3 linked regions of the Nothobranchius furzeri genome follow. The protein of the gene in region 1 interacts with the protein of each later gene in a biochemical or structural test. Links are inferred from orthologs where the notes say so. Each region holds a gene or a part of one and is shown on either strand. Other genes may lie near its edges. The genes, in order: nr0b2a, esrrga and smarca2.

Region 1 (10,185 bases):
TTGTTTAGCCACATTTTAAATAGCTTAAATTATAATTTTATCTCTTTTTGCATTAGTAGTCAATGATTGTACACACACACACACACACACACACACACACACACACACACACACACACACACACACACACACACACACACACACACACACACAGCACATAAAATATTAGTATTTGCTGTGGTGAAACGATTATTTATTACTATTATTGTTTACCCAGTTAGTGCCCCTAATTTCGCATATATTAGCAGGCCTATAGATTGTTGTTGGATGACGATAAACATGTTAATTCTGAATAAACTCTGGATTTAATTGTTCTTTGCCCTCTTTCTGTGACTCTGCTGGGCGCTGTGCTTTCCTGCAGGTGAGGCGAGTGTGATTAAGTGTGGGCAGACAGTGAAAATGGGGCAAAATGAAATATAATGTTTGGAAACACACCTGCTGCTGCTGCCTGTGCAGCTGTGCGCATGTCAGCCCTGCCCTTTCAAAGCATGCTCAATCATTTTAAAAAGTGAAAATCTGTTAAATTGAATGCTAAATGTTTTTGCGTCACGAACTACTGCGCCAAAATAAAAATCGAAAGGTAACCCTTCTGAATTCCCCTTCCGCTCATATCCGCTCGGCGTGACGTCACGACTCACCTGTGGGTGGGTGTTTAGGATCTGGGATTAGCTGTAGCCGCAGGTAATAGCCAAACATTGGGAGAGACTCGGGTTTTTAACCAGCGACGAGGCGAATGAGCGGGCGCGCGTGTCCCGGTCGCGGCTCCGGACTGCGGGCTTTAGGTTGGGAAAGTCGGTCGTTTTGGAGTTTTAAACAACAACTCACCTGGAAGTCTGCGAGGTTTCAACCTCCGTCTCGTTTTCTCTCGGTTTGAAGCGCGAGCAGGAGTCTGAGACTTCCGCGGTTCGTTCGCTGGGAGACGAGCACAGCTGTTCCCTCTTTATGCGGTAAGTCCAGCAGAGCAGCTCAGGGATGAAAGCGGAGCTGAGGAAGGGCCTGGCCAGTCAGGACGAGCCGATGATGAGTAGTGCTCAGTGCTATTTCTCTGAATACTCTCGAGTCCGCAGGTTAAGTGGTTCTGCAGGTTGTTTTGAGCTGACACGGCTTTAACCTGTAAACATTCCTCTTCCTCAGGTCCCAGGTCCTTTGAGCCATGCCTGGCCACAACAGGGGAGCTCCCCAGGCACCCAGCCACCACCATCCCCACACCTCAGGGTCCAGGACTGACAAGTACAGGCAAACCCGGCCCGCATACCGGGACGGGGCTGCTAAGCACGACTTCTACAGGGATCATCATGGAGATCATCAGCACAACGAGCGCCCCCGGTATGCAGAGAACAAGTACGGTCACGGCAGAGGACACCCACGGAACGGCACGGCCCGGAGCTCAGAGACTATAGGATTTATTCCAGGGTCAGCAGACAGCGTGCCCACCAGCAGGCCCACCTGTGGCTCCTGCGCTTCAAGGGGCTGGAATAGCTGCAAGGCTCTCCTCTGTTGTTTGCTGACCTGTGGCTTTTACGGCAGCCGGGAGCCCTGTCTGCCTGTTAATGAAAGCTCCACCGACCACCCACATAAAATGGGCAGTGAGCCTCCTAATGGCATGGCCTTGAGCAACCCAACACGTGACATCACCTTGGAACCCAAAAAACACTCCAATTTACCTGCAAATGAAAGCTTCCGATACCAAGATGTTCGCTTCAGGGGGGAGATCGTAAGTTACCCGGTGAACGCCCCCAAACGGACCCGTGCACCTGCTAAGGGGGAGAGCCAGCGACCGGTCAGCAACACCAGCCTGCTGTCCAACGACTACTACGATCTGGACGACCCGTGCGACAGCACGGATGTGGACTCTCTCATCACCAAGAAGCTGCTGGAGCTCTACGCATTGCATCAGATCGAAGAGCTTGCCAAGTGCACATCCGACCAGTCCTTCTCCCGCAAAACCAACGAGATCAGCGAGCTCATCTACAGCATCGCCCAGAACTACAACCTGGAGGAGCAGGAGGCCGAGTGCAAGCTGGTGCACGGGGTCATCCGCATCAGCACGAGGAAGACGAAGAAAAACCCCAGCCACAAACAAGCGGCGCAGCGTCCCAACGGCAGGAACGACGGGACGCTCCCCGACAGCGGCACCGAGACCATGACCTTCATGAGCAGCGACTGTAAGAGTTGCATGACACCGTTTTTGTCTCGCAGTAATAATCGGTGCAGTAGACTTTTCCACTTGTCTTGTTCAGCAGAAGGCCAGAAATAACAAACATCTGACCCGTTTCCCCTTCGGTGACTCATCGTGTCTGCTGGGACTCTGCTGTCTTTGTTTATAAACCCTCAAACACAAAGCAGTTTACAGGCCTATTAAACAATCTGCTAATCCGAGGCAAGTTGATACAAGTGCGGAAAACCCAAAACCTTGTGAGAGCAGATGACCGGACTATTGATCACACTGGAGCTTATTGAGGGCCCTTAAGAGGCCCTCTGTGTTTGCTTTGCCACATTTCATTTCTGCGTCTATTTAGTTCTAATTGTGTTACAGATCCGGAGGTGAAAGTGTCTGAGCGGACGCCGTCGGATGAGCTGGCCAGGAAGATGAGACCTTACAGTGGGAGAAGTGAGTGCACCTGGGAGTTTTCCATGACGGGTGTACTGACCCGTTTTTTGTCTGGAGAAATTCGGGTGTAAAATTTAGCGTTCCTCCGTCTGTGATTGTCTGCATGGTGAGGCTCCCATCTCCCCTAACCATTGTGCCGTCTGCAGCTGCAGGCTTTCTCTCACCTCCTCCCTACTTTCCAGCAGCACACTTCTCTAACAAACAGCATTCCTTCTCCTTTTTCTTCGCACATTACAGTCCCACCTAATGCCGTGCCGGTCTTCCAGGCTCTTTTATCCCCCCCACCCCAGCTCAGCGGTCATGCTACACCTCCCGCTAAAGCAGCAGATCGAGTCACATCAAATCTACACCTTGTAACGTTACGTCATGTTAGCAAACAACTTGGGTTACTAATAAATTACAGTGCAACTGGCTTTTTTTTCTCCCTTCAAACTTGCTTTTTAGCAAACAGGCAGTTTAAAGGTGTCTGGTTACACGCCTCTGAATGAGGGTACAGCACGTTGTGTTTCTGCAGCTTTCTCACTGCACGAACCCTCCCCGTGCAGATGATGTAGAGCCCTCGCTGTTTGAGTTGTTTAATTGTACAAATGTTGCTTCTCCACCAGCGTATTCCTCCAGCACCGCCACGGTCTCCTCGCCGTACCATCACGACACAGGAAGTCACTCGTCAGGAGCTCCTCTGCTCATCTGAAGAGACTTGATGTGCTTTTACTGCAGAAGGGTGTCACCCGACTGCTGTTGCTACTGCCATGGATGCTGTTACTGAGCAGAGCACCGTTCTCTAGATGGTTACAGTTCTCCAGTGAGAGGAGAAGACACTTTTTGCTATGAATTGTCCCCCTGAACAAAGGTGTGTACGTTGTTTTTTGATGTTTAGGTAAACCTGTGATCAGTGTTCTAAAGATTTAGACTTCTCTGAAAACATCAGTCAGCCGTCAGAAAGCCACAGGATCAAACCCCGTGGTAGGTCATAACCGTCCTCCTTCCTTTTTTAGTTTTACAAGCGTTGTGTTGTCTGAGCTGATCTGTTACCGTTTCTTTAACCTGAGATGTTTTTTTTTTTTTTTTTTTTTTTTTTTGCTGCTGCTGCTGATGTTTAAGCAGCAGAACTGTGCTGAAGCCATAACTGTTCTTGAAATGATGTTGCATTGTGCCGTTTGGTGTCTTTTTTTATATTACCCAAAAAGTTGTATTTTAAAAAAATAAACTAAATTCTTGTGTTTTTTATTGCATATTTAAGTGTGTTTATGTTCTCTTGCAGCCACAAGTGGAATACTGGCATATTAGTGTAGCTTTCATACACCAAGAAATCATTTTTCATTCGAGTTTCTTCCTCTCCAGCTCACTTTTCCTTTTTTTTCCGAATCTGGGATTGTTGCAGGCTCGTCTCCGAGGTCAGCGTTCTAGCAGGTAGAGGCTTTTTCCGCCCTCAGCAAAAGGAGGAACTCGTTTGGCTGGTTCTGACAGAAAGGAAATAAAATCCCGAGGTTTGTCTTTGTCATTCATGGAAAAAGGAAAGAAGCAATTCCGATAACTAGACTTGCTGCAGGAGCCTGAAGAGAATGAAGAGTTTGGTTTCTGGTTCTAATCTGTTTTAGGACGCGTTGATCGTTGTTTCACGTTTTCTTGTTTCTGCTCAAATGAAGATGTTCAGTTTGAATGCACCGGGTTCTAAGTTTTCAGTAAATCTAGCAGATTACAGCCACCTTATCCTAACAACTCCAACATTTGGATGATTTCATATCTGCTGAAAAGAAAAATTGCTGCAGCAACAAAAATGTGTAGTTTTTTTCCACTTTGCACTCGATTTGAAGCATTTTGGACTCTCCTTTTGTCTTGTTTGTGTTGCCGTTTCCACGCGTAACCCCATTTCCACCGGCTCACCGCCCCCACCAGCACATTCCTGTTTTACCTGTACGAGTTGTCATGTAAAGACAGGGTTTCACAACTAACATACCACAAAGTAGGATGACTAAGCCTGATTTCTCAAATAACTACATGCAGACAGTGTTTTTTTATACTGCGCTGAGTTTAGCGTTCGTGCCATTCTGTCCCTTTTTGTGACGATGGGGTGGGGGGATCTTGATGCTGTGGTTTTGTGAGAAATGCAAAAGTAAGAAAATATTTGCCGCTAGTCTTCTGAGAAAAAAAAACTTCCACCAAACGTCCTCTAGAGGGAGACACAGCACAGCAGTACAGGCAGAAAAAAGGTTTTCTGTTCCATTTGAAGCCACAAATGTGTGTTTTCATTCTAATTTTAGATTCTCTCCTTTAACGCGCAGGCTTACGCTTGACTTTCTGAAAAGTTTGCTGAGCACAACATGTAATGGAGGATGGATCCACGGATCGGACTCAGTCGTGTACAAAAATATATTTATTCAAGTTTTCTGGAAATGCAGATGCTTATTTACAGCAGAGGAGCTCATCGACACGTAGGATCAAAACTCAAAAACCTCTCAGGAGTTCTGCTCAGACGGTGAAGTGACCTCAGCTTCAGCGGACGAAAGTCAAAACCCTAGTGTGCTTTATAGAAGCCTCTAAAGCACGCTGCATGGAGGTCACCATCCCGAGGACCACCCCTCCCATCGGCTGAAGAGCATGTCGACCAGCAGCTCCAGCAGGTTGGCCTGGCCTATCACAGGCCTGAAGAAGAGTTCGGTGATGAGGCTGGGTGTGATGCCCTGCAGCATGGAGGCTGTGAGGAGGATCCGAGCAAAGCGCTCCTGGTTGCCAGGGTGAAGCAGCTGGACCACCTCGCTCAGGGCGTGCTGAGCTTCCTGCTGCAAGCCTTCGACAAACAGGCCTGCCTTCAAATCTGGTACATCTGTTTGAGAGAAAACCAGAATTGTTGCTTGACAAACGAGTCCTTGGATTATCTGTTGTCTGAATCCAGTTAACGCAGTACATACCTGGATTAAATATCGTGGTCCCTTTCAGGTAAGCGTACTCCTTTGGGCTCACATCTAGACTCCAGAACTTTTTGAGACACGACTTGAGTTTGCTGATGCCTGCCATGGTTGGCTGCTCCCGCTCTGTTTCAGGGCTCTCCTGGCAGTTCAGGAGAATCTTCTTCAGCATGCTGTCAGCAGGGACGTCCGCCACCTCAAAGTCCACGCGCTCCTGGGCCAAACCCAAAATAAAAAGTGGCACCCAGCTGCTTTTAAGTAGTGCAAACTGGTCACTGGGTGGCAGCTGGTTAAACGCTGGCAAGTTCTTCATGAAGTGGACGGTTTTCACCAGAACTGCAGACGCCTCTTTGCAGACCACAGACGGCCTTTTTAAGCACACTCTCCGCCGCGTCTCACAGTTGCATCTGTGAGGAACGGAACTGTGGCTGGAGGTGTCTGGAGTCGGTCTACCGCTGTCCATCTGGCTCAAGATGTTGTAGAGGATCGGGTTTAACTGCCTTTGTTTGTTAGCGGAACACTGGCATCTGTTATCCATCTTTCTTCGATGCGGCTGCTCCTCTGAACCTCTTCTCTGCCACGACGGGCTCCGTCTGAGCTTCTGAGAGCTGCTGCTTCCTCCAGTCTTATTTATAAGGCCAACCCTCCCTTCTTAGTGGACCTTGAAATGTCAATACACCCAATGTGAAAAACAACCGCGCGCTCTGCCAGGTGACTGCTGGAATAACCCTGGGAAACAGATAAGCTTTTCTCATTGAGAAGTAGCTGCTGGAGTCACACATGGATATCAAGTGGGATTGGCCTTATCTGGAAGGCAGTGTCATCAACCCAGGCAGTACCAAGCTACCAAGGACTGCAGAGGTAATCAGCCCCACGCTGTGTCACTGCACCCGCCAGCTCACACCTGTAGTGCTGGAAGGAGGCCAGACCACAAAGGAGGCCGTTGACCTTCACATCGTGTTCTCATCAAACGTAGTTTAGTTTAGACAAACGTTTCCAAACCGGGAACAGTGGGAATTATGCTTCAATTTTAGGGAAACAGTAGTAGTAGCATAAAACCACCAAATAATTCCCGACCACAGCTGCAGTTCTCCGCTCCCCACGGGGATGGGTCAAATGCGGAGATGAATTTCAACAGTGTGTGATGACTAAAGGAACTATTGAAATGATTCCAAATGACTTCGGGAAGAATATAAAACAAGTTCATCGCTGTAGCGAGCCCCCTAGGGGCAAGTTGCATTGATAGCTTAACCTGTAACTCTGGGGTGGGAACAAACGGTAAAATGTACACTTAATGCATCTAATCCTCAGAAGTCCCAAAGCATACTTCAACCTTATAACCACTTCACCTACTAACCTTTAAAATCGGACCGGCTAGCAGCAACGCGACTCTACCACTGACTCTGTTTGCTCTTCAACGTTGATGTTTTCTCTCCACAAATAACACGAGCCTGGAGGAGGTCTGCTGTGTGGTGGAGTTGCTTGTGCTAACGTTAGCTTCTACTACCTCTCTGCTGTTTCCTGGATGCTAAGCCAACAACAGCCGCGAGTCAAGGAGGGTGAGTCCATGAATGTTAGGTGACAGCGTGGCGTAGATCTGTCAGGCTTTTCAAATCCTAGGTGTAGGAGACTATTTTCATGTTCAGCATGAACGAAACACTCGGAGACCGATTATAATCAGAAATAATAATTAAAACTTTTTTTCAGTGTTCCACACCGTTAATGGATATCCATCAAGATTTGCGTTTTAATTCTGCCTTTTCGATCTTTAACACGATTATTACACAGAAGATTAAAAGGTTGTTTGTGTGATCGTAAGGGTCGTGTGTAAGACCAGTTTTTCATTTGAAACATGCACAGAAGTGTTTGTTAGTGATCTGGAACGTAATTAACCCGTTTTACAAATGTCTGCTTCTATAGTTTCTTTGTTTGCATTTGCTTTTGCCCAGTTCCTGAGTAACAGCTGCATTTACGTAGAAGTTTTTGAACATGTTTATTTTGCTGTCAACACATTTGAAATGAAATGAGGCATTCTAACTGCAGATGTTCCGTTTGTGAGACAAACTTATCTAAAAAAGCATCTTGATCAAAAAAGAAATAGTGTTATTGTTTTTACAAATGTTACATTCTCTTGTTGTTGGCCATTTCACAACTAATCTCAATAATGTACATGTTTTTCTTCAGTTCAGATTATTTATATAGCTCCTAACTCAGCAGACGGCATCGAGTCACTGACTAGGTCTTTGCAGCAATCCTCAAAAGCAAGTGTGTAGCGACAGTGGGGATTGGGAAGTCAGCGCAAACACACACACACACACACACACACACACACACACACACACACACACACACACACACACACACACACACACACACACACACACACACACACACACACACACACACACACACACACACACCAAGTGGTGTTCCTATGGCTAGATTGTGATTTCTTATTAAATATTCTATTTAGTGAGAAATAAACTTTATTGTCTTTATCTGGGTGAATCTAATGGGCCATTCCCATCTGTACCGGGTCGGCCCGGGCCGGGTAGCCCCAGTCGGCCCCAGCCTGGCCCGGTTGATTCCACACATCCTTGCCTTAAGCCCATGTGGGCTGATTCTACCCACCAATCAGAGGCTTGCTCTAATGGAAGGTGTGAATTTGCTGTCAGCAGTGGGTGTGTTGGCCCTGGTCGGCCTGAAGCAGACCCCCTTGAGAAGAGGGCTGAGAATGAGCCTTGGTTGGCCCGGAAAAATACCAGGCCACCCAGATATGTAAACAACCTACGCTACCCGGCCCGGGCCGACCCGGTACAGATGGGAATGGCCCATATAACTGATTCAACAGGTGAACTAGTAGTAGCACATACAACGTTAAAGAGAGTAAAATGTTATTAATAAGAGAGGGAGTATGTTAAGTAGTTAGCAGCAGCATGCTAGCCGGCGGCCCGCTCCATGAGGCCACCACAGCTCAGCAGAACACCGGTGCTCTGCGTTAAGTTGCATCCATGTGCAATCAACCATAACAAATCATTGGATGGCCCAAACACACAAAGGATGTTTGCATCAACCTCAGTTTAGCCAAGTCTTCTATAAGAACATAACAAAAGGGACAGAAAATTAAGCATAGCTTAATAAACATAACAGCATGAACATAAGATGTATTTATTGCCACTACATCACCTTCTGCAGGGCAAACATGAAACATGAATTGTACAAAAGGGTGGTGCAAAGTTCTCAGCTATGAACATACACGTACAACGAAAGGGACAAAAAGAGATTTTAAATGTGGTTGGTTGATACGCAGGTGTGGGTTATTCCTGGGGAAGAAGTTGAGTGGTCTAATGGGATCTGAGATGTTTGTCAGGCTTATGCCGCCTTCGGTTTTATATTATACAGGTAAACCGGCAGGAAAATAAAGATCTAACCAACGATGTTACAAACGGGAAATGCTACAGATAGCTGATTCTCCTTCAAATGCAAATGACAGTAAACTTTGTTAAAAGTTGTGTTGTGCAAAACTTAAAACATTGCAAAGCCTTATAAAATAATCTTTGCATAAAACTTATTTCTTTAACTTTGCGTTGTTTTAAAGTCTCTTTCCGGAGTATTTCTCTTATCCGATGGCACCATCTAGTGGCCGACAAGCATATGACACAAAAACTCTCGCTCTGTTTTTTTTTAGATGGCGATTTCCCGTTTCCGTTTATAAATGTGCTTCTGTAGCCGACAAACAGCTGAAACGTGTTGTTTTACGAGTATTATTCTCATGTCAGGCTGTGTTCTCATTTATTTATATTTTAAAGTCTTACTTGTCCGTGAAAAGTTCATCAAATCTGCATCAGCCGAAGTATTCCTTAAATTTGAAGCAAGTAAGCGCTCGTCTAACGCTATTGGTTAGTTCTGGTCGGCGCTCAGTTTCCTATCGCACGGAGCTCTGCGGGGCGGGGGGCGTGCTTACATTATATCACAGTACATGATCAGATAATCACTTTTACAGATTTCTGACAAATCATACATCATTTCTGAAAGGGGAAAACTCTGGAAAGCAGCTTTAAGTATTTAATAAACTAGCTGTTAGCCTAACAGTCTGGTCAGGAATCGTCTCTATTGTTCCACACAGAAGATCTGAACTTTCTGAATCACGTTTGACTTTAAAAACCGCTCAGGCCACTGGGAGCTTGTAGTGTTTGTTCTTTGTAGAGCAGGTTTTATGTCATGATTTTATTCTGTTGGAGTGTCAAGGAGTCGGAGTCACGGCGTCTGTAACGGGCAGTACAACGTTTCGCCATCCTTCTCCGTGCCTGGCACAGAGGTTCCAGACTGATAAGGAAATGACTTTATTACGGTCGCAAATAAACACAACTGTCAAATAAAAGAGATCTTTGAGTTGTAAAAGGGATCACCGCATTCATAAGTCATAACGTAAACCATGGAACTGCTGTTTTTATTTGACACGAACCGTTAAAGTATCCGAGACTCGGAGGAGGTGACCCGTCGAGCGCTGGAGTCAAGGACAGTTTCCAAGTGTATGACTGCAATAAAGAGATTAGACACCAGACACAACTGGCAGCACCAGTCACCGAATCTTAGTTTTATTGCATCATTCCATTTACTCATTCCTTGAAAAATTCCTCTGGAAAATGTTTCCTAGTCTCCTTTTCT
Region 2 (10,413 bases), on another chromosome or scaffold:
TTTTAGGAAGAAAATGGAAGTCGCATCTAATCCTGGCGTTCCCTGATTACACGTTTACTTTTGACAAGTTCACTAAAGTTTAGCTGATCCGCCTCTCATCTTAAGAAGTTTCTTCAGTTCTGAAACGTGGGTTGGGAGTCGGAGGCTTAGAAGGTGTGGTCTGAAGCAAACATGCTGCTAGGCCAACAGGTGACCGAACCAGGTGAGCTGTGTTGGAAACTGGTTAGAGTCATCAGCACTAGCGACATAAACGAGGAGCTGAATAGAGGGAGGGGCCAGGGAGTCATGTGACCTCAATGGACTCAGTAGTGAAAACAATAACCTCACCAGTGACTCCTGTATCAGCATGTTTGTTTCAGACCACATCTTTCAAGCATTATAAAGTAAATTTGATAAAAACAAAGCAAAAAAAAAAAACAAACAAACCTGATAGCTCAGAGGTTCTAAGATGAACTGATTATGCATTAGTTTTATATATGTGATAATTGCTGCAAGTGTCGAGGCTGATAGAAAAAAAAAGCCATGTTGATTTCCTCAGTTTTAAGAGGAGAGTTTTAAGATGAAAAGCAGAGTTGCGTTATGTCATATACAAGATGAAAATTATTTACAACCCTAATATTAGTGTTATTACTTCTAAAGTAGGGGAAAAAAACAACAACTTGTCTTTCTGATTTGGACTTGGCTATGTGAGTGAAGCTCATTCCCTGAAAGAGACACAAAGATATTTCTGCACTGACCCAAGAAATGAGCTGGAAGTTGTGAACGCCACAGGACAAAAGAGTGTTTTTTTGTTGTCGGGACGGTGAGTAGAAGTGGGCCAGACCTTTGTTTACGGCACATGAGCAGAGTGGTGTGTGGAGAGCTGCGACTCGGTTTGTGAATGAGCTAAAAATGTTCCAAACAAGCATCCAAACACAAGAGGAGTGACTGAAAGACTGTTAGTTCCACAGAAAAATGGGAACAGTTATTAAGCTTTTTGGGAATTTTCAAAAGTTTGATTTCATCTTCTACAAATTTGTATATTTATAAAAAAACTGTCTGATAACTAACACACCTCAGGTCTTATTTGTCCTTATTTAAATAATTTTTAGCTTCACCAAGTGCACAAACACTGTTACGATACTATTCCAGGAGGCCGGAGACGTCTGTCCTCGGCAAGTTCAACAGACGGTTAAAGTTGTAGCTGAAACAGAAGGGCCATCTGTAAACAAGGTACGAAATTCAGGAACCACCAGAAAATGTTTGAAGCGGTTGTTTCCAGTCCTGGTCTGAGAAGCTCTCAGCGTGGCTGGCTTTCACAACAACCACAGAAAATGTAAATGCCTGTCAGAACGGGGAGCCAGGCCCAGGACTGAGAACCACTCAGAACCAGAAACAGATCGGGATGTGACAGTAAAGGTAGCAGGCCTCCTCTGAATGGATGATTCCATCCTTTGGCTGGGCGGATCTCTTCTTTTCTTCCCGTCTATCCATCCGGACTCCTCTGTACAACAAATGTCATGAACACTTTCCAAGTGTTCCTCATTCATTTTCTTCTTGAACACAAAAAAAAAACTCTTTTTGGTGACATGGGTGGGGGTGGGGGTGGGGGGCACAAGTGCAGTCTTACAGTCTTTTAACTACAACATAATTTTCTATTGATCTTTTAAAGGTGTCCTCATTATTGTGTGTCATTAATAACATCTTCATTTTTACTCGATGCATAAGTCTTTGTCACAACCTGGACATGCGAGTCACTGTGCGTAATGTCTTGTTCAGTTGGTCCAAGGGGAGGGGTCAAGTCCAGCTGTCCACACATTTCCCCCAAAACAGAGAGCAGTGGACGCCCTTTAGTCAACTAGTGGCTTGGGGTTCAGGTTTTGGGTCTAGATAGATTCTTTAGTCATAGAGCGATAAAATAGCCAAGCAAACCGTGTGTGTTTGTCTGCGTGTGTGTAGGAGTGTTTGCATGTGAAAGAGCAAGAGGTCATTCAAGTTGTTGATCAAAGTTTGAGACGAAGCTCTGGTGATTCAGACTGGTGTCTTCTCCTTCCCTATCCTCACACCTTAGCTTCCAGCAGCTCCAAGAAGAGTTTGTGCATTGGGACTTTTCCATCCTGCTTGATGCTGTAGAAGTGCTGCACAGCCTTGGTGGAGGTCTGACGGAGCAGGGGGAGGGTCATGAGCAGCTTGCCCGCCCGGCGGGGATCCTCCTGGTGTTGGGAAGCCTCATAGTCCTGCAGGGCCTCGTGGAGCACGTCCTGGAGCTTCTGCACTGCATCAACATCCTCAATATGCATTGAGTCTGGTGAGAGAGAGGAAACGTCATGTTAGAGTAGTAAAATAAAATTAAATAAATAAACAGCACTGACTGATGCCCAAATATAAAACTGTACTGTAAATAAAGAGATTTTGCTAAACGGTTGGATTTAAACTTTAAACATAGTTTGTTCTGATTTAGTGAGCAGCAGAGCCTGCATGTGCTGCTGTGTTGCTCAACAGCATGCTGATTTTGTCTGGGAGGGGCCCGTGGCTTGAACTGAACAAACTTAATCTAAAATCCAAGCAAGAACAAAGCAGAGATTCTCAACCGAATCATATGTTCAGGTTGAAAATCCAATAAATGTAAATTCTATTGACTTTCTATTGATTTTGATGTCTGCGGCAGAAGTAACCACATTTGCATTTAAATAAAAAGCATTCAAATTTGTGATTTTGTACACTTGAATAAAAAACAAAAACAAAATTAAAGGCAGGAATGGGGTTTATCACTAAATCTAGTCAGGCACTCATCTTACCTCTGTCTTTAAAGTGTGCATGTGTGGGTGTGATGAATGGACAGGTGAAAAAACGAGGGGGAGGAGAAAAAATAGATGGACTCCTAGAATGATGAAGAGACGCTGCAACACCTAATAGTGTTTTCTTGTGTGTGTGTGTGTGTGTGTGTGTGTGTGTGTGTGTGTGTGTGTGTGTGTGTGTGTGTGTGTGTGTGTGTGTGTGTGTGCGTGTGTGTGTAGGTGCATGGCTGCAGACATCTGTAATCTCTCTGAGTTGGCGTTAGGTGTGTTTCAGCATGTACGGCAGTAAAGGATGAGAATGTCTCTCAGTAATAATGCTCCGTATCGCCCCTTAGGGAGGCAATGTCTTAATGTGAGCTGGCCTTTAGCTCTCAACCTCCGATCAATGTCTCCAATCAATGATTACATACATGTTAAATAATAATCACAAGCCTACTATCAATGGCCTCATCCGCACACTCTTACAAACTCTAACTCCACTTATAAGGACCTTTTCTTTAAGACTTTAAGGTTGTCATTTGGTACCAACAGAAACTCTGTCCAGACAAACATGCAGGCTCTCTCAGGCTCAGAAAGGACTAAAAGTAAACAAACCTCTGCACAGAAAGTAAGACGTGCAAAATGAAAATAAATAAAACAGATGAAATGAGTCAACACAGACACTTACACAGATTCACCAGCAACACAATCAAATGCACAGACTTGGATCTACGGAGTGTAATGCATGTATCAGTATGCAGGACCCGACTGGTCAGTGTGCTAAAATCTGGGAGGATCAATAGAAAGCTCGGCCTCAGAGTTTTGGCTTGAGGTCTTCTGTTGTATTTTTCCCCCTTAAAAATGTAGCAGTTGAACTAGGTTTTGCTTGTTGGATACGATCAGCAAATGCATTTTAGTCTGTTTAATGTACTTTTTGTTAAAATAACACCCTTGTGTTGGAACACACTAGAATTAATATGAATATTCTTGCAAAAACAATCCTCCACTCCGATTAAAGCTGAACGAGTATCGCATTCTTTTGTTTGTTATTTTAAAGCGTGCCGTCTAAGCTGCCGTTCGTGGCTTTTGCCTGTTTGACCCGCCGAACACTGACAAGTAAACCAGCAGGCGTTAATGAGCACAAGCAGGCTGCTGAAGCACACACGTTAACATGAAACTTGCACACACCACCGTGCGCGCACATACACAAACACACACGTGTGCCTTCTGTTTCCCATGGCCAGTTTAGCTTTCTTTACATGTGGGGCACGTTTGCTAACATTTCTTAAGGCTTGGCTTCATTAATGCAAACGATTAGCATCCTGTGAATTAATTAGTGTCAGTGCCCTTCAAAATGCTAATGCTAGCATTCTGTTGTCTTGAAGAGCAGTTAGAGCCGAGGCAATGAAACAAAGTTCTTACTGTATGTGGAATTCAGCCATTTTCGTTGGCTAAAGAAGTGAAGATTTTATGTCTTTGTCACTTTATGTAAAGATGTTTTTTATACAGTTGATCCTGTCGAAATGTTTTCTTTTGAGGATTCTCTTTTTTGTGGGGATTTTTTTTCACGATTTTCAAAATGTGGCTTTTTAATTAAAAAAAAGAATAAATGATGTTGACTGTTAAATTTATATTTTGTGTGCATGCATGCGTGTACACGCACACATTGATTGTCACACAAAGCTCAGGGAATAACAAAGTATCAATATTTTCTGCATTTGCATATGGAGCACTAAGTGTGATGAAATCACTTCTACAGTAAGTTTAAAAATCCACTCATTTTCTACAGTCGTAATATAATATCAACATCAGAGGAAATAAATGGTTCAACTTTAAGTTTCTATGTTGGTTTTTGTGCTTGTTTGTGAGTGTGTTGATGATGGTGACATTAAAGCCCCCCCACCTCCTCTGTGAAAGCTGTTGCACTGCATTCTCCTTTTTAAACACATCGTATTGACAGCTTTCCCCTTGTAATTAAAGAGTACTGAAGAGCTGGCCAGCTTCCAAGACAAAGTTCAAAAGATGGGTCATCAGAGGAAGAAGGTGTGTGTGTGCGTGTGCGTGTGTGTGTGTGTCAGTCAGCTGTCGATGCAGCTGGACACATCAGAGGCGGGGCTGTATCGACAGATTTAGAGTTCTAATGATTTCACTTTATTTAACAGGCATCTGAAGAGACAACTATGCTAATTATTAAAAGGGATTGCCACTTTGTCTGGGGGTGGAATTCAGTCTGAACACATCTGTGCACGTTTGTGCTTAACCGCATGCTAGTGGCGCATGCATAAAACAAAAATATGTGTAGGCGCATGTTACATCTGTAGCATGACACGACAACCGTGCGGGTCTACAGTGGAAGTTGGGAAAGTTAACTCATTCTTGTAAAAGGAAAAAAATAATTGTTATGAGTACATGTGCATCTTCTATAAGAGTGCGTTTGCATGCAGACTACTGAAATCACTTCACTGACGTGTCAGCTTAAATGAGCCTCGTGGGACTGAAGGTTCCTGGGATTGACTCTCTTCCAGCAGTCTAACGTGCAAACAGACAAGAACAACGTCTAACCTGAGTTTGCCAAGGCGATGGCCTTTAAGGTGACAAATTCCTCCTTCTCCAGTTTTACAGCTTTGTACTTCTTGACCAGCTGAAGGATGGCGTTGTTCAGGTCAAGGAGCCCAGCTAGTTTGGACTGGTCCTCATCCATGATGTAATCCTCCGCATACACCAGCTGGAGGAAAGCACAGAGAGCGTGACCCTGGAAAACTTAAAGCAGTGTATTTGATAACAACAGGAAAACAGAGATGGAACACGTACCTTGTCTTCAAACGACAGTGAACGGTACACGACGCGCAGAATTAATATCTCCATCCATGCACTCTGAAGTAGACTCATCTGGTCTGCTAAAGAAAGCGTGGAGAAACCTGGTGAAGAAAGAGGACTGAATGAGCACAGATGTTTTTGTTTTCTTGACCTACAATGCAGCAGAGTTAAGAAGTGATTTTTCCCCTTGTTACTAATATAAAAATAACACATTTTGAGCATTTTGTAGAACCTACATAGATGCCAACAGTAAAACCAAACAAAAAAGTTAGAAAATAAATAGTAGAAAAGTTTATTTAGTGAGAGATTGAAGAGCAACTCTGCTCTGTCTCCTTTACTCCCCCATCCATATGAGCCCTCCTCCTCCTCCTCCTCGACTTCCTCTCTCCCCTTTGCCCAGGGCTGTTCCCTGGGGGATGGCAGGTCTTATCTCCGCCTGCCACAGCCTCCACAGATCAATGCTGGCCATCGTGGCAGCACTGCTCAAAAACACATGCTAATTGTTGCTGTTGCCTCAAAAACGCTGTTTTCTTTAGTGTCAGTCTTGGCCCTGTTATCTGCTCGTGTCAGTCTATGATTGGCCATTTGTTTGTCTGATTCTTTTCATCTTGATACATCCTGACCTGAATGTCCCGTCTGTTCAGGCCAACCTGCTTTCCCAGCTGTGATTTGATTGCTTCCTGTTTTTTCACGTCCTTAAGTCTCTCACTTATCGTCTACGCTTCATTCTCTGGCTCTTTAATGGAACACCTGCCCACTCGCACCTCTCCTCACAGCTGTCTGCTCCTCACACACCTGTCCGTTCACACACGCCTGTCTGCGTATGTGTGTTTTCTGTGAGTGCACAGACAGTAGGCCACGCAGGCACACCTGTTGGACCTCGCTGCAGACTCCCAGTTTGTGTGTTCATGTGAATCTGAGAGGAGCAGCCTGCCAAGAAATGCAAGCAGATGAGAAAGAAGGTCTTGGTTCAACAACATCTGCTGCAATGGGCCTCCTCTTGAGATGCAAGGTGTACGAGGGAATGTGTGATGATGAGTTTGAGGGTGCAGGTGCACATTAGAAGCTCCTATCTTACTGTGTGTTGATGGGTAATGGCAGGCGTCTCATTATGTCCAGGTTGCAAGCTATTGCTGCTTGCAATGAGCTTTCTGCCAACTCACTATTATAACATCCAACAAAGACACTTAAAATAAAACACAGATACAAACATGCGCGTGCATGGACAAATGTGAACAGGAGTAGGCTGGAATACATCCAAATGTGTATGAATGATACACACATGGCTCTGTGAAGGAAGCAGTATTGTTGCCAACTGGAAGTACCTTCGTCTTCCTAATGAAATCATCAGAAGGGATTAGAGGTACGTTTCTTAAGGGGGTTTTTGTACACCCACGCATGCACACAAAGAGCAGATATCTTTAGGGGGTCTTTAGTGCCTTCTCACTCATTTTGGGCTCAGGAAATATGAGCTGGCATGTTTAAAATGATCACGCAAGCTCTTATTGAATCTGTTCAGCCCCAAGGTCTAGTGAAGAGAGGAGGGCATGTGTGAGGGGTTAATATCATTTAATAGTGTCACTGGTTGTGTGTTTTAACTCCTCCATGGGTGTTTTCAGCGCTCTAACTGGCAGTTCCCTTTGAAGGAGGTTGTCTCAGAGGTTAACACACACACACACACACACACACACACACACACACACACACACACACACACACACACACACACACACACACACACACACACACACACACACACACACACACACACACACACACACACACACACACAATTGAATTCCTCAATTTCTTAGTGTAGGTATATTAATGCAAAATAAAGGCTTAAAAAGTGAACCACGAGCACCACAGGCTTGTCCAGAACACATCTGAACAAAGTCAAAACAAAAACTGTTAACGTCATCAAAAAGTCTGCATATGAAGCTCGTTATTAATAAGAGGATATTCACCATCATCGATAAACGCCTTCCCATCTAATTACAAACCAAGTGCACACATGTTTACACACACACACACACACACACACACACACACACACACACACACACACACACACACACACACAGAGAGAGAGAGAGAGAGAGAAAACACCAATAATTAAAACCCTAATTAATTTATTGAGCTGAACTGCAGCGGTTTTTATTGAGGCACATCAATGGTTTTTTATCATTTTGAGGTTTATGTGTGTGTGTGTGTGTGTGTGTGTGTGTGTGTGTGTGTGCGTGCGTGCGTGTGTGTGTGTGTGTGTGTGTGTGTGTGTGTGTGTGTGAAAGCATTTTGTGTAATTCTAAAAACAAGTACGTATTTACATTTTGCATCTGAACGTTAAAAAACACCACTGTTGCATTTAAATGGCTGGCTTGTCTTTTATCACTGTTTGCCTGTATGCATTCCCATACATATTTTCATAAGTATCTGCATGTGTAACTCCATCGGTGTGTGTGTGTGTGTGTGTGTGTGTGTGTGTGTGTGTGTGTGTGTACCACCCCCTCTCCCCTCCCCACCAGTCTGTCTGTGCCGTTCAGCCATCCAATGCCTCTTATCTGTCTGATTAATAGGCGGCCGGCTTCAGGACAAATTAATTAACAGATAACACCATCTCTCCCTTCTTCGCTCCCCCCTCCTCCCCTCCTTCTCATGAAGCGATCGATACAACAGAAGAAAAGAAACATCAATGGGAATTTAGTGCTGATGATGGAGAGAGAGAGGGGTATTGATGGAGAGGTGGAGAAGAGATGAAAGTAAAGGGAGGAGAGGTGGAAGAAGAAGAGGTGATGCTGGAGGTGGGGAGGGGCGGAGACCTTTCTTTCATACCTGTGATTTCACTTGACAAAAGAAGGTTCCTGATTTGGCTCTAATCACATTTCCTTTCTGCTCATTGTTGATAAGACATCTCACACAAAGTGAGGAAGTACGAGTGTGTTGTTTGCGTTACGCTGTGCAAATTTGTTGTCTTGGGTGCCTGACTAGCAGTGCAGGTTTCAAATGTGTACGAAACAATAGTCTGGAAACATTTAAGAAGTCATGAACAGACTTAAACTTTTGGAAGGATCAAGTTTTAGGTTTTCCACAACAGTCCGGCACAATGTTCATGACACAGAAACTCTTGATTTACTGATCGATCTACGTTCCAACCCTCACCTATGGTCACAAGCTTTTGGTAGTGACCGAAAGAAAGAGATCACAGATACAAGCATCTAAAGCGAGCTTTTTCTGCAGGGCGTCTGGGTTCTCCCTTAGAGACAGGGTGAGGAGCTCTGTCATCCGGGAGGGGCTCGGAGTAGATTAGCTGCTTCTCCACATCGCCTCCCTGATGAGGTTTTCCAGGCACATCCAACTAGGAGGAGACCTAAAGGAAGACCCAGAACACGCTGGAGGGGCTCTGTCTCTCGCCTGGCCAGGGAACGCCTAGGGATTCCCCTGGAGGAGCTGGCCCAAGTGGCTCGGGAGAGGGAAGTCTGGACCTCTCTGCTTAGGCTGCGGCTCACGCATCCCAACTCCGAATAAGCAGACACTAATAGATGGATGGATGCTTTAGGTTTAAAGTTTTGTTTCTGAACTAAAATACTCGAATTGAGGTCAAGTAACTGTGTCATGAACTTCACATTAATGCTTGAGTTTCAGTGTAATTTCGAAAACAGAACGATCTGCTACAACACCTATGAAGGGGCCTAAAGAAACGATGTGTGCACTGGCTTTCCTGACAGAAAGAGGCTAAGGTTCAGCCATGCAAACTTAACCTCTGCAGTTTGTTCTTCTGGGCTCTCTCTTTTCTTTTCACTTTTCTCTATTAGATACCCCCCCCCCCCCCCCCCCACACACACACACAGAAACACGTCGACTCCCCAGCCACCCTGCGGCCTGTTTGTCTGCCAAATGAGTCCTGACTGCACGTTTACACCCGAGACCGCACAACAGTCTGGCTCAGACACACACACACACACACACCTACAGGATAGCCCTCTCTCATGCTCCAGTTGCTTCACAGATGCACACAAACGCACATATCTAGGAGCCCTATATTTGTTTTGTGTGGTTACAGGGCAAATGGGAACCAGTGAGAAGCGATTGATGCTTATGAGGGTGTGTGTGTGTGTGTCTTTTCTTGTACATTTATACAGAAATGTGTACAGGTATGTGATTCCAAGAATCCAAGAAGGTACACCGTGTTTCTGCATGTGTGTAGCTAGAATGCGTGAAAACTGGTGACAGTTAGAAACACACGACCAGTCTCCACATTCAGGAATCCAGCTGGTGAATTTTTGGGCTTTTTTTTTTCTTATTAGGACAAATCAAATATAAATAGGTAACTGTACCCATTCAGATTTAATCCAATTACATATTATAAATGAAGTATTACATTTTTTAATTCTTTAAAATGTTTTGTGTCAACATGTTTACCCCTTGTACAGGAAGTTATGGGTTTTACTAAAACGTGTGCACGTCATCAGTGAACTGCCAGCACAGAAGCAGGTCAAACCAGTGCCACTGGGCTCCATCTGATGCGAATGCGCCAATGACTGACTTAATCCCAGTGTGAGATTGCAGTTTAGATTAAATAGAGGTGTTTGTGTATTATGAACCTTGAAAAGGATTATTTTTTTATTAGAAGAGTGAAAAAGGTTTTAGCAGCTAGCCTTTGTAATTGAATAACATAAAGGTAAATGCTGACTAGATTCCTTTCAACTGAGTTGTATAACCACGACAACGCAGCCACTAGCAGCAGGATCACAACACACTTGAGGATGCATTAAGGTACAAAATTAGTCGCAGCCTTCCCCCAACAGACTTGTAACAGCTGAGCATCTCTTTTGGAAGTCCC
Region 3 (10,413 bases), on another chromosome or scaffold:
GTACAATAAAAAATAAGGCAAATAACACAATAGGATACACAAAATGTGTTAAAATGAGATAAAAATCAATAAATCTCAAAATGAGAAAATCACAACATAAAACTTATTGGTGTGACCTCTTCAGCAGGAGGCCAAAAATGCTGGATCAAACTGAAAAGGGCATTTTTAGCAGAACTGCTGTACAGGGTTTTTCCTGCGTTCAAATTTGCGTGGCGGCCGCCTCCAGCTAATTTAGTGCTGCCCCAGCCTGATTTCACTCTGCCCCCAGCTATATGGGTGTTATTTTAACTGCAGTTGCAGCGTTGCGTCACTACAAGCCGCTGTATTAGCAGCGGTGCACCGAAAAGCACTAAAACCGCTGCAGAAAAAGATCAAAAATAGCTTTTCTCGCTAGTTGGTACATATCTACGGTTGGTGCAATTTACATCCTGATTTACCCCAGGCTCATCCATATCAGAGCAGGGCTGTACAGTGGTGTCTGTCTATTTTTAAACGTAGCACTGGTGCAACATCTTTGAATTACTATTCTCCCCAGAACTTTATTGTACAAAAGTAAGTTGCGTGTAAGAAAAATGCTTTTTTACTGGCGCACAGTGCGGTCATCTGGATGCAGTGGAGGAAAATAATGGGCCATTCCCATCTGTACCGGGTCGGCCCAGGCCGGGTAGCCCCAGTTGGCCCCAGCCTGGCCCGGTTGATTCCACACATCCTTGCCTTAAGCCCATGTGGGCTGATTCTACCCACCAATCAGAGGCTTGCTCTAATGGAAGGTGTGAATTTGCTGTCAGCAGTGGGTGTGTTGGTCCTGGTCGGCCTGAAGCAGTACCCCTCGGGAAGAGGGCCGAGAATGAGCCTTGGTTGGCCCGGAAAAATACCAGGCCACCCAGATATGTAAACAACCTACGCTACCCGGCCCGGGCCGACCCGGTACAGATGGGAATGGCCCATTAAGGAACCAGCAAAGGCAGAACCGGTCCAAAGTTTGGGATCAAAAGTGCAGCTACACGCAGATTGGCTAATGCTAAAGCTAACGGGTAGCAGTCTCACGATCAAGTGGCGCACGGAAAAATATATGATGATGATGATCGTAAAACTAAGAAAGACTAAACTCTACAAGCGGATGAAAAGTTCCCACCATCCTGTTTATTCTGCATGCTGCAGCGTTACGGATCAGAACCGCTGCAGATGCGAGTCACATTACTGCTGGCGCAGGCTGTACGGCAAGCCGTTGTAGTATATAATTCACAAAGGCTTCTATCTAAGGCAAGCCATTGTAGTATATAATTCACAAAGGCTTCTATCTTTGACCATAATTTGAACTGGATTATTGCCAACCATTACACATGCCACCATTACATTGTTAGCAGTAGAAATGAAATGTTATTACCAATTACAATCCAAATGCATGTTAATGAAATGCATTATATTTTACTGGATATATTTATGTGTTATTTTGACTTAGACGAGTGTTATTAATACAAACCTAAAATGTTCCTGAAATGTAGGTCAAATATTTAAAAATATTTTAAACTATAAATATCAGATGGGGAAAAGGGAACTAAACACCAATCTAATGCTTATCATTGAGCCTTTCACAATAAGAGTCTGTTATTTCAGCCTGATAATTTTGTTGTTTTATTTCATATTTTTTAGCAGCAAACCTGTTTTGTTTCACCTGAAACGTTGTCAAATGGAATATTCTCTTAATCAACAGAAGCTTAGATTAGAACACTTAACGAAAACATATGTTGCCTTTAAAAAAGTGAGGCAGTTGAATGCACAGAGTACGAATGTGCTGGCGCACGGTCAGGATGGTACCACCTCCGCCTCAGTTTGAGCCAGTTGTGTTGTGTTGTGTTTATGAGTCCAGTTGAGGATAAAAAGGATACATTTAAATACATGAATGAAAAATAAACATTTCTAACTGAAGTTTTAAAAAATCTGCATTTATCTGTAAATACATAGAAGTCCACCTCCTTTATAGGTAATGATTTAATATTTTCACACTTTTAATTATGCAATACTTCAAAGGAGAAGCCTTCTACTTTGTCTTCCACATGATTACAGCATAACAATAACGCCAACACAACATACAGGAAATGTATTTAGAAAGTAGAAAGCTTCAGATGATCAGAAATCCAACGCTTTAGGACTTCCGACTCCGTAAATAGCTTTCCACCTGCAGCCAGTCACAGGAGACGCTCTGATTTTTAGTCCTTCCACAGAAAGCAGCTGCTGCGCACCCACGTCGCGTCTTCTAACCTCGTTTAGCATTTATGAAACACTTTTAATACATTTTATTTTTTCCCAGATCTGACTTTGTAAGCAGCACCTGTTCATTAATGAACCATAAAGGTTTCCTGTCGGCTCTAAATCAGTGCTGTTTCATTAATTATGCAGCAGGATGATGTGAACCAGCCACATAAAGGTGATTATCTGGACATTACCACCATTGGTAATTGGTGCATCGCTTCAGAACGCACGTCCACCTCTGACACTTACTCATGCGTCACCTTTCATAATTACAGACACTTTACTCATGATGCAAGAAGGAACACACGTCAGAGTTTATATGTGATGGACCTGCATTCATTTTCACTGAATAACTCCTAGAGCTGCATGATGAAATTTCCCTGAAATAAGGTGAGTAACCTCAGAGGGCCTGGGCCTTTTCTGTGCTACTTACCCGCTGATGATGCCATTCGGATAACCCAGGTGTTCAGCAAAAGACTCCTGTACCAGGAAACATTTACATGTTTAAATATGGAAAGCCTTTTAGGACAGATGATACAATTTCCCTTTTAAAAAAAAAACTCGGAGCTACTACCAAACAAAGCAAATGTGTGCATCACTTCAGAGCACAGCCTTACAGCTCGTGTCGGATGAGAACAGAACCATAACTTTTTAGACTAAAGCAGAAAATCTCAGGCCCGTGCAGCTAAAGAACAGGTACAGGGGAGTCCCACCAGTCCTTTGAAACACATCTAAGCTAGCAAAGAACCAACAGGTAACCCATGCAATCTGCTGTCACGGCGAGAAATCAAAGCAACACGGACGAGACGGCACCTGAGCCGAGACCACACTGTAGGGACGGGGTGTGCAACGTGAAGAAATGCATCAGGTGACTGCTGACATCACGCTGCTGCACAACACACTCTATGCTTTATTTTCATGAATGATGGTGTGCAGTTGTCAGTATGGCACCACATGCATGCTGACGGAATAATGAGGCAGAACCGGGTCGCTCCTGCCACAGAAAACCACCAATCAGCAACGAGGGGCGCCATCATGGAATTAGCAACCACGTTGACGGTTTAATCTCGGCACAAAAACCATGTAGAGGTCAATTATTTAACTCGTTCACTGTCAATGACTTTTCTCCAGCCCTCAGAGAGTACAGACACTTTTTTTCTCAGCTCCCTTATCTGCTTCCCCAAGGCTCTTGTCCTGTCTGCCTACAGAGCACTTCTCTGCATTTCTCCTGAAATCACTACTCTTTTTTGGAAATATGGACTTAATTAACTGGTCATTCAACGCGATTGATAAAATTTTTTCTACGATGAGAACGGAGAAGGGGGTTCCCACCTGTCCCGAGGGGACATATGCAGCGGGATATGCACTCGATTCTTGGGAGGTCTGGCGAGTCGTGTGCCTCTCTCAGTTGTCCATCGAGGACGTGGAAGATTTGTGGATGTTCGGCCTGATGATCGCTGGATTTCTTCTGATTGGAGTGGGAGGATATCTGGTTTTCTGGAAATTTGGGAAGACGGGAGCGATTGGAGTGCGACCCGTGCCCATGGAATGTGCCGCCCGGGCGGTGACCTCACAGACTGGGACGTTACTCGAGGTGAACCGTAAGCTGGACAATGTCCTCGCGGCGTTGCCTGTGTTAGTGCGCAAGATGGATGTCATCTCAGAGAGGGTCGCCGGACGATGTGGGGATGTTTAGAACGTAAAATTGGCTTCACTGGTGGACATGAATGACCACTTATAGACTCCAAGGCAGAGAGGAAAATTATCTCTGCCTGCCCCAAACAAAGTCATGTTTATCCTTATCTGACGCCAAGGCAGCCTCTCAAGGCTGCTTCAACACACCCCCACGAAAGGAGGAATGCTGACAGATGCTGTGCCCCGACCTTCCCCCCCGCCTTCAGATTGTGACTTCTGCTGAGGTCAGCGACCTGCAGGAAACTCAATGTGCTCTCTGTCCCTCATTTCTCCCTCCCACCTGTTGGTCTGCAGCTGGTTGATGCGCCGTACTGGCAGCTCCCGTTGGAGGCTTCAGGATCCCGCCCAGCCCCGCCTCCCCATCGGACTCTGATGTTTTGTATCTGTGCTGTTTGTGCTTCTATGTTGAGGAGTTTTTTTTTTTGTATAATAGTTACTCCCCGCTGGGTCTAACTCTGCTATGCCTTTTTTTACCTTACCCCCAACTATCCTCATGTAACACCCTTGTCATCTATCTATTAAGGTAGTGCGACTCATGTTGCGAATGACCGCAGTCACCAATTCTTGTCATGTGTCTTACCCATGTATGTCTGATCTCTGAATTGTGTGCACTGAAACTCAATTTCGTTTCTCTGCATGTCTTGCACACGTGCTAGAAATGACAATAAAATGACTTTGACTTGACTAAAGCCGTCTTTGGCATTTTTTTTTTTACCGTGTGGGCGTCGGACGAGCCCCCGCACCGTGAGAACAAACATCTCAGCTCTAAAGCTGATCTTCATCCACATACGTCACACGTCACGTGATCAGGAAGCAGAACATCCATGTGTTAGGAGATCGTTTTGGGCCGCTGCTGTAAAAATGTCAGGCGGCGAAGCGGAAAAGCTTCTGCCGATCACAATTCAACAGCGGCAGGGTTTCCTCCAGCGCTTTATAAGCCTGGCGGCCCGCCAGGCTAAGCGTCATACCCCACCCCCCTCCCCAACCCTACCGTGTCCACTGACACGAACGGCGCTACGAAACTAGAGCCCTCCATCAGCTGATACTGGTGAGAAACAGCAGCGGAACGTGTGCAACCCCCGCTCTCACGGAGGAGCGCGCGGGATGTGTCGTCCCAACCGTCACAAACGGAGAAGAAGTGAGTTAGTGTGGCGGAGGGGTGGCGTTTACGTCACAAATCGGGACTTTTTGGAACCAAACACCGACAGAAATGGGTGGCCGGTGTTTTTAGTCACATCTGGAGTGTTTCTAGAGGCAGCAGAAACCCACATGGCAGCACAAAAACAATCCAAAAGGAGAGATTTTCTTCACATGTCCCCTTTACACGAGTCAAAAACATATTTAGTGACAAACTGTGTCGTCGGCGCTCACCTCTATGTGCTGGAACATGTAGGGATGGTTGCAGATCTTCTTCAGCTGCATGATGGTGTTCATCAGAGTCTTGGCGCCTCCTTTGCCCTGCAGCAAATGATCACAGATAAAAGAAATGTAAAGTCCTTTCAAACCAAAACAGAGCCTTTTATCTTGTGAGGGCAGGGATTCAGCACTAGAATAAACTCCGAGTGCATTAGTCAGGAGATTCAAAGCTCCTTTGATGTAAACAGTCGATTAGCGTTAAATCAGCACAAAGGGAGCCCAACGCTCAGTAACCACAGCACAGATTACAGCAGGCACAAACAGGCGGCGAGGCTTCAATGTTTACCTTCTTGTCTTTCTCTGAGCCGTCGGTCAGGAGGATTCCTTTCTGCATGTGGCGGTACAGAACCTTCTGTATCGCAGACATGTCGCACTTTATGACATACTCCACCTGAGAGAAGGAGATGAAGTAAAAGCTAAATCCGCTTGAAGGTGAGGTTGTTCCTCATGATAGTTTCAGCCCTGAGATTAAAGAACTAAAACACAAAGTAAAGGAGAAACTAACGTTTTCATCTGCAGGGAGATCCTTGGAGGTTTCAGCTCAGGAACAGAAGACGTCGGAACAACTTAAAACGTTAGTTAAGACGGTTTCCAGCAGAATGATGTCGTCAACCTATCCCGTGTTACTTTTACCGCATGAAGGTAGCTCAGTGTACGAGTGTCGGTAAAGGCAGAGTTACGGGATACAGCAGAAGCAACCCCAACAGCAGCTGAGGCGTTTCCTACAAGCTTCAGTCGCTGTCTGAAGCTAAAACGTAGCATCCAGGGTCGTTAGCGCTAACAGCCTCTTACGAGGGAGGCTGCGTCTAACCAGACTCTGCAGAGCCGCGAGTCTGCAGGAGAAACACACCACCCGTGTTTTCTACCAGCAGCAGAACGAGGTGAGGCCGACATAACAACGGTGAGTGAAAGAGGAGGGCGGACGTCGCTGTTGCCGCGGTTACATCAGCACAGGAACGAATTTCATCACTAAAATAAAAACTAACCTTTCTACCCAGAAAACGGGGTTGTTATGCTCCTGGTGAAGGAAAGGAGTGATTTAATGAGAAATGAGCTGAACTCGTGTAGCGCCTTTCTGAGTCAGAGGACTCCAAAGTGCTTTACGCTACACGCTGGTGGTGATGAGCTACACCGTAGCCACAGCTGAGCTGGGACGCTCTGACAGAGGCGAGGCTGCTGAGCACAGGCACCAGCGGTTCCTCCGAGGGCTAACTCTTAGCCCCTGAGCTACCGTCGCACCAAACCAGCTCAACCCCAACCTGCCTGACTGTCGCAGGCTGACGGGACGAAAGGAACGGAAACCAGAAATGATTCAGCGACCAAACGAAAGCAAACACCTGCAACAGCAGCTGAACTCACCTTCTCTGGCAGCTGAGACTCCACCTCCTTCTTCAGCCTGCGGAGCAGAAACGGGCGGAGCACTTTGTGCAAACGGCGGATGATCAGGATGGTTTCCTCCTCGTTAAGGTCCACCTGAGCAGGTGAGAGGGGTTAGTGACTCAGGTGTGTTCTGCAGAAAGAAACAAGCTAGGCTAGCAATGCGGGGAGGGGAGGGGCGGCATAGAAAACAGATTCAGGAGATCATTTGGTTTTTGTTGAAATAATAACTTTGAAGATGAATTTCTGCCATGCAGCATCACAGCTGGCTCGCCCTCAGACAGGAGGAGGAGAGACGCGCGGCTCGGTAGAGTAAACAACGAGAAACTAGCCTGTGAGGAAAACTAGCAGCAGATATTTCAATTCAATTCAAAAATACTTTATTAATCCCAGAGGGGAATTCCGTTTCAGGATATTTGATCTGGGAGTGGTTTGGACTTTATGGAGGAAGACTTTGAACAAACGACAGGACGGGATCTGAGACTCATGCTAACACATGCTACCACCGACAAACAGCCACCACGGCTGACCTTGCTAGGACTTTTGCTGATCAACACCATCTGGAAGAACGTGCCGACCGTTTTATTCTGCTCGCTGCTCGGCTGTCAGGCTGAATTAAACCACAACTCAGTGGCTAAAAGCAGATTTTCTACTCCATCAGTGTTTACCATAAAAAACTGTGGCGTTCGAGCTGAAAAACACTACAGTTTTACTGACTTCGTCTGACCCACACAGACCAAACTAAAGTCAGATCTCATAGGAATTCTCCACTCCTGTGATCCTTTTGTTTGCTGTGTGATGAACGAGGACTCTGCTGCTGGAGCTGATCCTCGGGGCTTTGCTCGTCCTCGTGGTTCCTTCATGAGAACTTCTTCAGATACAGAATACCAGAGTAAAGGAGGGTTGTGGGTGTCGAGTATGTTAGAAAGCCGTCATCGGTACGCGTGTGAAGCTAAGAGGCACATACAACATGCCCGAATACATGATGCATCAGGTGGGAAGAGCAGTAAACACAACATCTGCTTCTCCTTTCAAGCAAACTTTCAGAGCAAAATGTAAAGCTGAATAAATTATAAAAGGGGAAAGATATAAGAGCAACACCGACGTCTGAGTTTCCTGCTCTTCCTGCCAAAACAGACATTAATTAAATACACGAAGAAGGAAATATAAAATTAAATAACGGAGTAAATAAAGATAAACAAATATATGTTGTAAATGTGGTGAGAAGCTCGGTCATGCGGGAGGGGCTCGGAGTAGAGCCGCTGCTCCTCCGCATAAAAGAGGAGCCAGTTGAGGTGGCTCGGGCATCTGGTCAGGATGCCTCCTGGACGCCTCCCCGGTAAGGTTTTCCGGGCACGCCCAACCGGGAGGAGGGCTAAAGGAAGACCCAGGACACGCTGGAGGGACTATGTCTCTCACCAGGCCAGGGAACGCCTTGGGATTCCCCGGAGGAGCTGGCCCAAGAGACTGGGAGAGGGAAGTGTGGGCCTCTCGACTTAGGCTGCTGCCCCCGCGACCCGACCCCGGATAAGCGGACGGATGTTGCAATTATTTCCACATTTCCCTCTCGCATTTATGCTAGTGAGGCGGGCGTTTCCACCTCTGGCCATAACATGATTGGTCAGCTTTGAGAAACTGAAATTCCCACAAACTTCCTGGTTCCGTTCTGGGAATTTTCACAGGAAACCAAAAGCACCTACAAGCTTTTCTGTACATGAGCCTGAAATGATGCAGCAAAGCCGGCGTTGACTCGCAGCGTTCCCCGCCTCGCTCTCTCGACTTCCAGCGCTCGTGCCTGACTCCAGGTGCGGAAATAAATAATTACAACATTTATTTATTTTTCTTTTGTTTTCATCCTGTCAAACGAATCACTGGAGCCGCTAAAGCTGGTTAAACATTTCTGTGGCTCTGCCGGTTTCCGTCTGATGTTTCTAGTGATTTGTGAGGAAAATCGGTCCCTCTGGGGGAGATTAAACAGTGAGCCGTTACCCGCTCTCCGGTCATGGCGAACGGGGCGTTGAACCACTGCTCAAAGGTGCTGCAGCTCTTGAAGATGGTGGGCAGCAGGAAGTTGAGCAAGGCCCAGAGTTCAGGAAGCTTGTTCTGCAGCGGCGTTCCGGTCAGGAGGAGGCGGCGTGGAGCCACGTAGTGTGTGTTCAACACCTGGGTCAGCTTACAGTGGTGGTTCTTCATACGATGGCCCTCGTCCACGATCATGTACTTCCAACGGATCTGGAGTGAAAACACAAACTAGCTAAACCCTCAGGGTCAAACCAGGACGAGCTCCAAAGACTCCAGTCTTGATCCTCAAATGAAAACAACTTTGAATTTTATCCAAAGTTTCTTCATTTGTATGTTTTTCCATTCCGTATAAAAATGATCTCAGCTCCTCGTTGAACACGATCACAGCAGGAGGGAGAAAAACAAACTCAGATGTTGCACAAAAGTCAATAAAAGTTTTAAACACATTTCATCACCGTACAGCTGCTGAAATCAGCTTTAAACCGCTTTTCACCGACTAAGAACCAGATAATCATCGTTCTGCTTTAAATTACAGAAGATAAGTTCAGCTGCTTTCATTTCCTACAGTTTAGTTGACCTTTAAAGCATCTGCAGACGACACGACGCGGCCGTAAGCGAGACTAAATTGGATCCAACGTTCTGTAGGTCATTCGTATTTAGCTCATGGCGGAGAAAACTCGCTACCAAAGGTTTCGTTTAGGAGAAAGTAAGTAATAGGGCTGAGCGAGTACACCACTATCTGTATGTGTACGTGGTGTGGGCGTGGCCTAACCCGGAAGTGGGTGTGGTTTACATTAATACATTGTTTTAAGTCTGAAATTGATATGGATTGATCAGAAGTTGCTATGAGTATTGTTTATTTGAAAAGTATTTACAGAACAGCCTCAGAATTGATATTAAATATTTTTGATTGCAATAGTAAAGGAACAATTTTTTCAATAAAATCAGAACATTAATATTTAAGTGCATGAATTAATGCAGAGAGAGAGAGAGAGAGAGAGAGAGAGAGAGAGAGAGAGAGAGAGAGAGAGAGAGAGAGAGAGAGAGAGAGAGAGAGAGAGAGAGAGAGAGAGAGAGAGAGAGAGAGAGAGAGAGAGAGAGAGAGAGAGAGAGAGAGAGAGAGAGAGAGAGAGAGAGAGAGAGAGAGAGAGAGAGAGAGAGAGAGAGAGAGAGAGAGAGAGAGAGAGAGAGAGAGAGAGAGAGAGAGACAGAGAGAGAGACAGAGAGAGACAGAGAGACAGAGAGAGAGAGAGAGAGAGAGACAGAGAGAGACAGAGAGAGAGACAGAGACAGACCCAGCGGAGCGGAGGCAGTGACCGACGCAGCACGAGCTGTCTGTCTAGTCAAATGCACCACGTGCGTTACAAAAAAAATGAACTTTAAATATTAAACCGAGCTGAAGAAAACCTAGGGAGCTCTGAAGAAACGTGAGCATTAGTAAAGCAAGCAGCGAGATCCGTTATTGTCTGTGTGTGTGTGTGTGTGTGGATGCATGGGCCAGACTGAGCTCCCGGCTGCAGAGTTTTGTGTGTAGGGAGGGGCGGGCGCTCTATGTGACTGGCCAATCACAGAGCGTGAAGACAGTCAGTTATCCAATGAGGATTTTCCTTCAGCACCATTACAGATATTTACGAGTTTTACTTGTTTCAT

What was found.
Region 2: the proteins of nr0b2a (region 1) and esrrga form a complex in vitro, tested with the Homo sapiens proteins (2 studies listed by BioGRID). The link is inferred for Nothobranchius furzeri from reciprocal best matches to the Homo sapiens genes NR0B2 and ESRRG.
Region 3: the proteins of nr0b2a (region 1) and smarca2 form a complex in vitro, tested with the Homo sapiens proteins (2 studies listed by BioGRID). The link is inferred for Nothobranchius furzeri from reciprocal best matches to the Homo sapiens genes NR0B2 and SMARCA2.

The regions. Positions count from the first base shown.
Region 1 is NC_091745.1:40,692,019-40,702,203, reverse strand, and holds nr0b2a (nuclear receptor subfamily 0 group B member 2a), read right to left. Parts: upstream 6,495-10,185; 5' UTR 6,056-6,494; coding exon 5,521-6,055; intron 5,436-5,520; coding exon 5,170-5,435; 3' UTR 4,968-5,169; downstream 1-4,967. Other genes in the region: kdf1a (keratinocyte differentiation factor 1), read left to right, coding at 1,154-2,165, 2,537-2,611, 3,217-3,302. UniProt on the Homo sapiens protein: Transcriptional regulator that acts as a negative regulator of receptor-dependent signaling pathways. Specifically inhibits transactivation of the nuclear receptor with which it interacts.
Region 2 is NC_091749.1:33,777,282-33,787,694, reverse strand, and holds part of esrrga (estrogen-related receptor gamma a), read right to left. Parts: intron 5,675-10,413; coding exon 5,568-5,674; intron 5,482-5,567; coding exon 5,319-5,481; intron 2,285-5,318; coding exon 2,040-2,284; 3' UTR 1-2,039. UniProt on the Homo sapiens protein: Orphan receptor that acts as a transcription activator in the absence of bound ligand. Binds specifically to an estrogen response element and activates reporter genes controlled by estrogen response elements.
Region 3 is NC_091750.1:37,859,577-37,869,989, reverse strand, and holds part of smarca2 (probable global transcription activator SNF2L2), read right to left. Parts: intron 8,974-10,413; coding exon 8,731-8,973; intron 6,838-8,730; coding exon 6,724-6,837; intron 5,756-6,723; coding exon 5,651-5,755; intron 5,407-5,650; coding exon 5,320-5,406; intron 2,734-5,319; coding exon 2,687-2,733; intron 1,238-2,686; exon of another isoform or gene 1,136-1,237; intron 1-1,135. UniProt on the Homo sapiens protein: ATPase involved in transcriptional activation and repression of select genes by chromatin remodeling (alteration of DNA-nucleosome topology).